Linked DNA regions of Oryzias latipes. The main gene of each other region encodes a partner of the protein of the gene in region 2 in a complex. Links are inferred from orthologs where the notes say so. Each region holds a gene or a part of one and is shown on either strand. Other genes may lie near its edges.

Region 1 (4,517 bases), on a different chromosome or scaffold from region 2:
TCTTCACTCCAGCTCCAGGAAAAATGACACTCTGCAAAGTGTTTCTGCAGGAGACAAGAGTCCCACATCTCAGAGTTGGCGGAGCTCGCGTTTCAAGCTTCGGACAGTTAATGTTACCTGTGATTCGCTGCTCGCCGTCAGGAGACTCCAGGGACTTCCACCTCTCAGGAAGGGATTCCAGCAGAGCGAGGTCGTTGGGTCTGAGCGTTTGCAGCAGAACTTTCCTCTGCAGGAATCTGAACATGAGCTCAGGAGAGCAGAAGACAGAAACAAAAAAACAGACTGCTGGCTCTACCATTCCCCGCCCTCGCCGCCAACTTTTGTTTTGCCCTGGAGGGCATGATCATAATCATAATTTTAAAGTTTTCTATGGATATCCTCCGTTTTGGCTTTGATTGAAGGATTTGAAATATATTTTTTGAACCCCATTAGAGATCTTTGCCCCATTCATTTTTGTGATGGTTTCTCCCACTGGAATGTTTATTTTATTTTATTTGTTAGTTTGTTTGTTTGTGTGTGTAGGGGGTGGACTATGTCAAGCCTTCCTATGCAGCGGGTACCGGGTCTGTGCAGATCTTGGTAAATATTTTAGCATTTGCCGTTTCGCTCTCAGAAAAAAAGAATTGCAAAAACAATCCGGTCCTTGCCGTCCATGAATGCTGCGGACCGTACCAACAGCACAGACAGGAAGGATACTGCTGCCTGTAGTGGCGCTCGGCGTCCTGAAGCCACTCCAGCATGTCTGCGACTGACGGGGTGACGGCGGAGCGCTCTGTGACGGCCTGCAGGTCCAAACTGGTGGCGTTCTGCTCATACAGCTGCATGACGGACCTCACCTGGTTACTGATGGCGTCTCTGGCAGACTGCAGACGACACCTGAGAAGGAAAGGAGTCTGTCTTAGTCCTCGGACAAGGAAGCCCTTGAAGACTGATAAAAATCATGTTTTTATCTGTTTTGACAAGTTTTTGCGGCCTTTTTCTGATGATCGAGGACATACATAAAGAAAAGTATGCTTAAAATTGGCAATCTGAAAATGTCTTTATTCAAATTGCTGTGAATGAGGAGCAGAAGAAAAAACCATGATGTCCCTGAATGCATCAGCACTGTCTCTGCTATGGACACACCTGGCATATGACACGGTATAACGGGGTGGGATTATATACGTTCGCTTCCTTCCACTCCCTTTCAAGCAATATTTATTAATATGTCTAAATATCCTAAGTTTGATTCGTCATTGTATGAATGTATAACTGATGATTGTATTGTTGTTGTGTATTGTTCTTATTTGATTGGTTGAAATAAACCATTTAAAAAAAAAAAGAAAAAAAAAGACACGCGTTCCAGAACATGTTAACCCATAGTGTTCACACAGTGCTAGTGGGTTGGGGCTTCTCCTTCTTCTACAATTGACCATGACTTGTCTTCCACCTACAGTTGGCAGAGTCTTGGTGCGAAATGTCAAAGTGGTGCAAATCTCTTGTATATCTGACTCCAGGCTTTTTCTTTTCGCATCTCTAGTCCAATATATGAAAGATTTAGTGTCATATATTCCGACTGGAATCAAATCAAAATCATTAATTTGTCCTCCATGGTCAACTTTCAAACGGTTGGTGTTTCCGTAAATTTAAAGGGGTGCCATCCATGCGTCACTACCAAATCTGAGTCCCTAATTGGTCAAAGTTCGACCTGGTTTAACTTTTAAGGTACATTTAATAGATGCACTTTTTGTACATACAGAGCTCAGAAATTATCGTAGAAACTTCAAGAGTTTAAACCAAAATGCAAATTTACATTTTTTTTATTGGTGGTTTCTTGAACGCGCATCGCTGAGGGCGGTGTGAACGTAGCTTAATGATGGTTCTAGTTTCTGGTAAAGGTCTTATGTGGCTTATTTTGATTTGGGGTTTTATCTTTAATATTTTCTTTAAACGGAAATTGTAATATATGGTTTGGTGCTAGTATCTGTACTACAGGAGCTCTTATTTTGAAACAAACTTTTTTTATGCTGTCACAAAAAACAGAGCTAATAGTCTTTTCAACGTCACAGGAGTCCCTGTGATGACGTCATCCGAGAGGCGCGTGTGTGTGGAGTTGTCGCGTGTCTCACATCTTCTCGTTGAGTTTCTCCAGCACCGTGTCCGCGGCCTCCTGCAGTTTGAAGCGCAGCCGCTCCTCCAGCTTCGGGAAGGTTCCGAGCGGCGTGCTGGAGACCCGCACGTTAGAGAGAGCTCTCATCTGCTCCGCTAGGTTCCCCAGAGACCCCAGGAGAGGGCTGCACTCCGCTAGCTCGCTCCCCCACAGCCGCTGGTTGCTCTCCAGCGCGGCGAAGCTGTTCCTGAACGCCTGGTGGAGGGCGCTGAGCGTCGGTCGGGAGATGTCAGACATGCCCTCGGCCTCCGCTCTGGCTTGGATGGGACTGTAAATATAGTTCTGACCAAGTCTGAAAGCCTCAGCAAAATTCTGCACTACTTTTCTGCGCAGAACCAGAAAGCGCTTCCGGTGTCAAGTAGTGACATATGCTGCCTTTACTGATCCTTGGAGATACGGTGCCCCATAAATACAGTAGCTCCTCAAAAAAGGCACTTGATTTCGGAAAATTGTATTTTTTCGTGCTCTCCTTTTTAAATCTACATACACACATACATACATTTTATTGATATATTTTCCCACTGGTTTTGTTAATGCTTCTGGACTTTTTGAGAACTTTTTTTTATATTTATAATCACAGGCATGTCTGTAGGAAGTTGCTATTTATCTTGGTTAAATTGGGTAAATTGTAATTGTGAGTTAAAAAAACTTTTTACTTGGTGACTATTTTTAGTATTTCCTGCCCTTCAGCTGTTTTACAAAAATGCTTTTTTTGATTCTTACTGAAACGCTTTCCATCAGGGGACGATTCATTTTTTCCCGAGTTGTCTTCGAACGCAGCATTGAACATTCGCAGTGCCGAACCCTGATGACGGGGCTCAATCCACGTCCTGATTGGCTGGATTTGTGTCTTGGCTCCGCCTCGCGCGGACATTTGAAAACGACTTCGCGAAGAAGGCAGGCCAGAGGGAAACCCACACAACTGTTACCTTTGTAAGAAAACCCGCTTCAAACTCAGACGAATTGAATCTAAAAACATTTATATCATAAGTGAGACCAAAGAATGAAAACGGGAGTAAATTAATCTGCCGGATAAACTCCTGCCGATTCCAAAGCTAACAACATAGCTGCTAACGTCCTCGGCGGCTTATTTTTTTCCATCTCGAAAACAACGTTTCACAGTTTTCTCCTGTTTGTGAAGTTCTGAGCGGACATGGCGCCCAGGAAAAGGACCACGAAGCAGCGAAAGAACAACCAGAAAATTGAAAAACTGGAAGTTTTTTTGGAGGATTTCGACAGCGAAGGTAAACGACAATGCTAGTTCGGCTTAAGTAAAGGCTCGGCCTACAGTTTGTTGTCTGAAATAAAGTGTTCTGAAACCCAACAAACCGAACCTGTTCAACCTTTGTCAGTAACAGCTGAAAGAGCTGACCAGGTTGGGGATATATATATATATATATATATATATATATATATATATATATATATATATATATATATATATATATATATATATATATATATATGCCAGCTCTTACCAGCTAATTCAGAATTGACAAAGCCTCTTGGATAAGGGGTGAAACATCTTCTAACTTTAAAAACTAAGTCTAGATGACAGCCCCTAAACCTACTACTATGATGGAATCAACCTGGATGAATGAGTCTTCAAGACAATCCAAAGAAAACAAAAAATAACTTCATTTAGCTGTTATAATTTGTTATTATCATTTGGAAATTGCAGGTTTTTTTTCATGAAAGACCCTACAAGAGTTCCTCTCCTTATATGTGCAATTTCATGCACTAATAAAAAAATGTGCTCAAAAACTAGTTAGAATTTGTTTGTAAATTTACTGATCGCTTATTTCCTGTTTGTGTTTTTTGTTTTGTTGCTAAAAAGATAATTATACGTAAAAAAGGAAGTTCTGCTCCTTCGAAATGATGCAATAAACCGGATCATAAAGAAGTGGATGGAAAAAGTGCTATAAAAAAACAATCTAAATTTTGATATCAAAACTCATTAAATATGCATCTTTTAAAGCTTAGCATTTTTTAATAGCTTGAAAAAATTAAATACGAAGAAATGCTATTTAAGCCTTATTTCTTTACTTATGTCCTCCATCATCAGAAAAATGAACATGTTAAATACGCCCTTTTCATCAGAATGGATCTTCCACATATAATTTTTTTTCTAGTAAAATTTCATTTGTCAAAAACATCAACAAATTCCACTTATATAACACTTGAGGCAAATGAAAACTATCAATATATACTCGTATCACGTAACATTAAAATGTTAAACTTATCAATGTTAGTCCATTTATTAAACAGTTTTTCATTTATTTCTCATAATTATCACAGATTAGGCTTGCATTACAGTACACATTAATTAATATACAATTTAAAGATGGATTTTAGCTTTTCTTTGGCC
Region 2 (4,248 bases):
ACATCAAAGACGCACGTTAGATTCCCAGTCCAGAACTGAGGGAGGGGTGTCAGACGACAGGAACAAAGAATCCTGATTCTTTGCCTCGGGCTTCTCCCTCCATTTAGCCCTGCAGGCGGAGAGTTCTGGAAAATAGAGTCGTCAAATCTGGACGTTGCTACAGTTAGACGACGTCACGAATAGTCGCCGTCAGCGTGTAGCTGCCAGCATTCGGAAAACATGATGTCGCTTTGATAACTTTATAAAATCGTTAAATGACATTTCTGAGCGTCAGACCACGCCCACGTGAAGAAAAGCCTCTCCATGGTACAGCACGCCGCCGAACGCCCTACTGGCGGAGGGTCGCTACGTCTCCCCCTAAACGAACACTCTCGGACACCACTATGGCTCCAAATGCTCCTAAATTTGGAGCAGCAGGGAGGAGCCAGAGGTGTGGCTTTGGGTCTGTATGTTCTGGTCGGTCACAGCAGGTCCAGTTCTGGTTCCGATGCATTCCTCCTCTTTTATTCAGTGCCTTCAGGTCTGAAGGAACTCACCATTTTCTCCACGATGTCCAGCAGTTTGAGGCACTGAGCCTGCAGCTCTGCAGCTCCTGAGGGCTGCAGGGTCGCTGAGGAGGAAGACGATGATGAAGCTTCAGGAACCAGCAGCTGCTCATGTTGAGACCTGAGGAGCACAGGACGGGTCAGAACCTTCTGAGTGACGGGCAGGACATTAGTGCACGCTGAGTGGCAGGAGACACCTGCAGGTCAAACAGGTGTAGTCGGGCAGAACGCTCTGCAGACGGACAGGAAGTGAGCTGAAGGCGCGCAGACATGGACTTCCTGTGATGTCATATGTAGCTACCTGATCTGGAACGGCTCGCCGATTGGTGCCCGCATGTGGGAACGTTGTGTCACTTCCTGTTTGCGCCAACATTGTAGCCATTGAGCAACATTATTTAGATATGCTTCTGTAATTCGTATGTTTGTTCTTCCGAGGTGTAAACTTTGTGATTCAATGTTGAATAATTAAAAAAAATAATTAAAAAGATCAGTTCTGAGTAACATCATTGATATTTTCATTGTCTGTGAAAAAAACAACATACATGTATGTAAAGAGTAAATACATGTACATACAGTGTACATACATGTATATACATACATGCATGTACACTGCTGCATTACAGCGACGGTCTTTTAGTTTTGGGCGCTGTAATCGGGGGGGGGGGGACTTCTCTGCTGTTTTTTTTTAACTTATTCTGTCCAACAGCTGAGCAAACTATGACGGAGTATTAGGGCCACCAAAAAAAATAAATAATAAAATTACGAGTTTTTTTCTCGTAAATGTACGAGATAAAATGTCGTAATTTAACTTTTTTTTTGGTGGCCCTAAAACTCCGTCGTAGCAAACAGATCAGAGCTGAAGGCCTTTTTGTTGGACAGGATTTACTACAAAGAGGTTATAGAACTCCAGAAACCAGAGTGTAGATTTGAATAAACCCCTTTTTGCTACTTTATTATTTTTTATTTATTAGTTACATTTAGTGTGTGTGTGGGGGGGGGGGGAGTAAAGGGAATAGAGGTGAAAAAGTGGGGGATAAAAGCACTGATTTGAATAAGTTATTATATTAAGCTGTAACAATTCTACCAGATCTGCTGGAAAGACAAATGTTACATCCAAGGTGAAAATCTGAAGACATCTGTCCATCAAGACACTGTGGGTTGGGGGGGGGGGGCAGACAGGGAGCAGTGTGCACGTGCAGGTGGGGGTGGAGATACATGCACGCTGCCAAAGTGAACCGTGTGTTCATAAGGGGAACCAGATCCTCCCCAGCCCGACCAGGAGAGGGGGGGAGGGAGTGTCGTAAAGGAGGCTGAGCTGTCGGGAAATGTTAACATTTATTTTGATAATTTAACAATGAATTACAAAGTTTACCATCTTGGAACAACAAACATACGAATTACGGAAGAAAATCTAAATAAAGTTGCTCAATGGCTACAATGTTGGCACAAAGAGGAAGTGATGTCATCTTGGAGGGACCAGTACTTCCTGTGACGGCGTACGGTCTAGAAACACAATCACCTCTTGATGTTGACGATGTTGGTTGCGACGTCAAAGCCGTCCTCGCTCAGTTTGTCCCACCTCAGCATCAAGTTGTGCCAGTCGGCAGCATTATCTCTGACCTTTCGTGCACTTCCTGTGACTGCATGGCACTTCCTGTTTGATGATCTCCCTGTCAAACAAACACCCTGGCATGAGAACCCTGCAGACTTACAAAGCGTGGCTCCGTGGAAAATGCTGTTTTTGGTGTTTTAACGTGTTCTTGTGGCTTTTCTCTGATGATGGAGGACATTTCTAAAGAAATTTAAGATTCAAACTGCATTTCTGAGGATTTCTGTATTCATATCATTGTCATTCAAAAAGCTTGTCAGTGTGATGTGGAAGCCACTACGGCGGGCAGAGGCTCCGCCCCCTTCTGATAATCCACCTGCAGATAAACATCTTTGTTTTCTGGATCTAAACTGTACGCCTGGATAGATTTCTGTTCCACCACTAATATCAGGGTTTGAGGGACTGTAAGCTAGTGGGAGAGAGTGTGAACAGATGCCTGATGGGAAATGGGGGCAGGCTTACTCTGCCCCAAAAGTTCCCCCCAAAACACGGAGGTGAATTTCTAATGAAATCCGGCCGCTCTGCAGAAACTACGTGTTAGAAAACGACATCATGAAAAGACGACCAGGAACGACTAACAAGGTGACCTTCAGTGAAGATCCACTTCATGCCTCACCAGCAGGTTCCCACAGTGAAGCATCATGGGACATATCGTGCTGCAAAGTTGAAGAAGGCGGAGCTTGAAGGGGGTGGGATACAGTAGAAAGAATGTGGTGGAGAGGTGAAGGTGGTGTTTGGATCAATCTAATGAGGGAGGAGAGGCAGACTAATGCTTCATGGTGACTCTAAAGTGTCCCTAGGTGTGAGTGTGCATGAGTGTGTGATTGTGGCCCTGCGACGGACTGCCCACCTGTCCAGGTTGCCTCCCACTTTCACCCACGAGTGGCCAGGATAGGCTCCAGCAGCCCCATGACCCCAAAAGGGAACAAACATGAATGAAAGATGAAGACTAAAGCAGAACATGAGCTCCACCTTTACAGTCTGGAGGTCAAACTAATCTGCTGCTCCCTATAGGGGGCGCTGCAGTGACTCAGCCTCCTCCCTCATGTCCTCCTTCATCCATGAACCTCCTCTTTCCTGGTGTCTCCAGCCTCTCCAGCCTTTCATCATCATCATCATCATCATCCCTGCTTTCATCTCCAGAACATCTATGATCCTGGTTCCAGAGAGAACCTCAGCATCTTCATCTCCTCCTCCTCCTCCTCTCTCTGGCGGCTCTCACCAGTCTGCTACACCTGACCTTTGGTCACACCTGAAACCCTCTTCCACCCGCTGCCCCCCCCCCCCCCCCATCCACCTCTGGACTGTTGAAAAGCCCCCCCCCTCCCTTCTGCTCCCCGGAACCCCGCCGCTTTTCTTCCGTTCCTGTCGTTCACGAACGAAGTGTTCTTTTTTCACGATACTACTCGCTCAAATTCTGCATAGTTGGGGTTGACGAGTCACGTGACCGGATGTTCCCACCGTTTCCAGAAAGGACTCGTGCAGACGCCAGTCCTTCCGTGTTTGGTCCTCTAAGCTGGATCTGATTCCACTCACCTTCCATATCGATCATCTGGACCCCCCCCCCCCCGGAAGGGTTACGTTCTTCTTCTATGGTTAGCACGGTCCACAGCGCCCCCTTCCGGTGTGGGTACCGGATGTTCTCGGGTTGCCGGATGTTCTCGGGGTCCTTCAGGGTCCTTCCAATGAGTTATATCACTAGAGGAGACATCACGTGGTTCCTCATAGGAGGAGAGCACCGCCATCTTGGTGAGGTCAAGTTTTGAAGACCAAACCACTTTTTATAACATTTAATAAAGAGCTCTGTTTTTACTTTCAATCACTTCATTATATGAAAAAGAAGAATGGCTTGAAATTGCTTAGTTTTGTTCAGAAATACAAACTTCACGAGTACCCCTAACTTAACTAGTATTAGACTATTTAGATTTTTTCTATGTTCCTTTATTTTATTTTACTTATGTTTTTATTTATTTGTGTGTTATGTTCATTGTTTCTTTTTTCCCCTCTATTCTTTATTTTCTATGTTAATATATTATGTTTGGCAATGGTGACTGATCTTCGAAGCAATATTCATTACATTGTTATTGTTCGTTG

Evidence for each region.
Region 1: the proteins of cinp (region 2) and c11h1orf109 are in contact, whole or in part, in a cryo-EM structure (PDB 8RHN), measured with the Homo sapiens proteins. The link is inferred for Oryzias latipes from reciprocal best matches to the Homo sapiens genes CINP and AIRIM. Residues at the interface, in NP_116019.1 of Homo sapiens: Leu161, Leu162, Thr165, Glu169, Asp177, Leu178, Leu180, Ser181, Tyr182, Ser184, Met185, His188, Pro190, Tyr191, Val192, Glu193, Ser194; in NP_001289959.1 of Homo sapiens: Leu107, Gln110, Ala113, Ala114, Asn116, Leu117, Phe119, Val122, Ala124, Leu125, Phe128, Pro129, Asp130, Leu131, Arg134, Leu135, Lys138, Gln139, Ala142.

The regions. Positions count from the first base shown.
Region 1 is NC_019869.2:20,075,801-20,080,317, forward strand, and holds the start of c11h1orf109 (uncharacterized protein C1orf109 homolog), read right to left. Parts: upstream 2,806-4,517; 5' UTR 2,387-2,805; coding exon 2,109-2,386; intron 877-2,108; coding exon 697-876; intron 237-696; coding exon 118-236; intron 45-117; coding exon 4-44; 3' UTR 1-3. Other genes in the region: cdca8 (borealin), read left to right, coding at 3,303-3,393. UniProt on the Homo sapiens protein: Part of the 55LCC heterohexameric ATPase complex which is chromatin-associated and promotes replisome proteostasis to maintain replication fork progression and genome stability.
Region 2 is NC_019880.2:161,133-165,380, forward strand, and holds the start of cinp (cyclin-dependent kinase 2-interacting protein), read right to left. Parts: upstream 2,989-4,248; 5' UTR 2,805-2,988; coding exon 2,771-2,804; intron 2,216-2,770; coding exon 2,065-2,215; intron 667-2,064; coding exon 537-666; intron 1-536. UniProt on the Homo sapiens protein: Component of the DNA replication complex, which interacts with two kinases, CDK2 and CDC7, thereby providing a functional and physical link between CDK2 and CDC7 during firing of the origins of replication.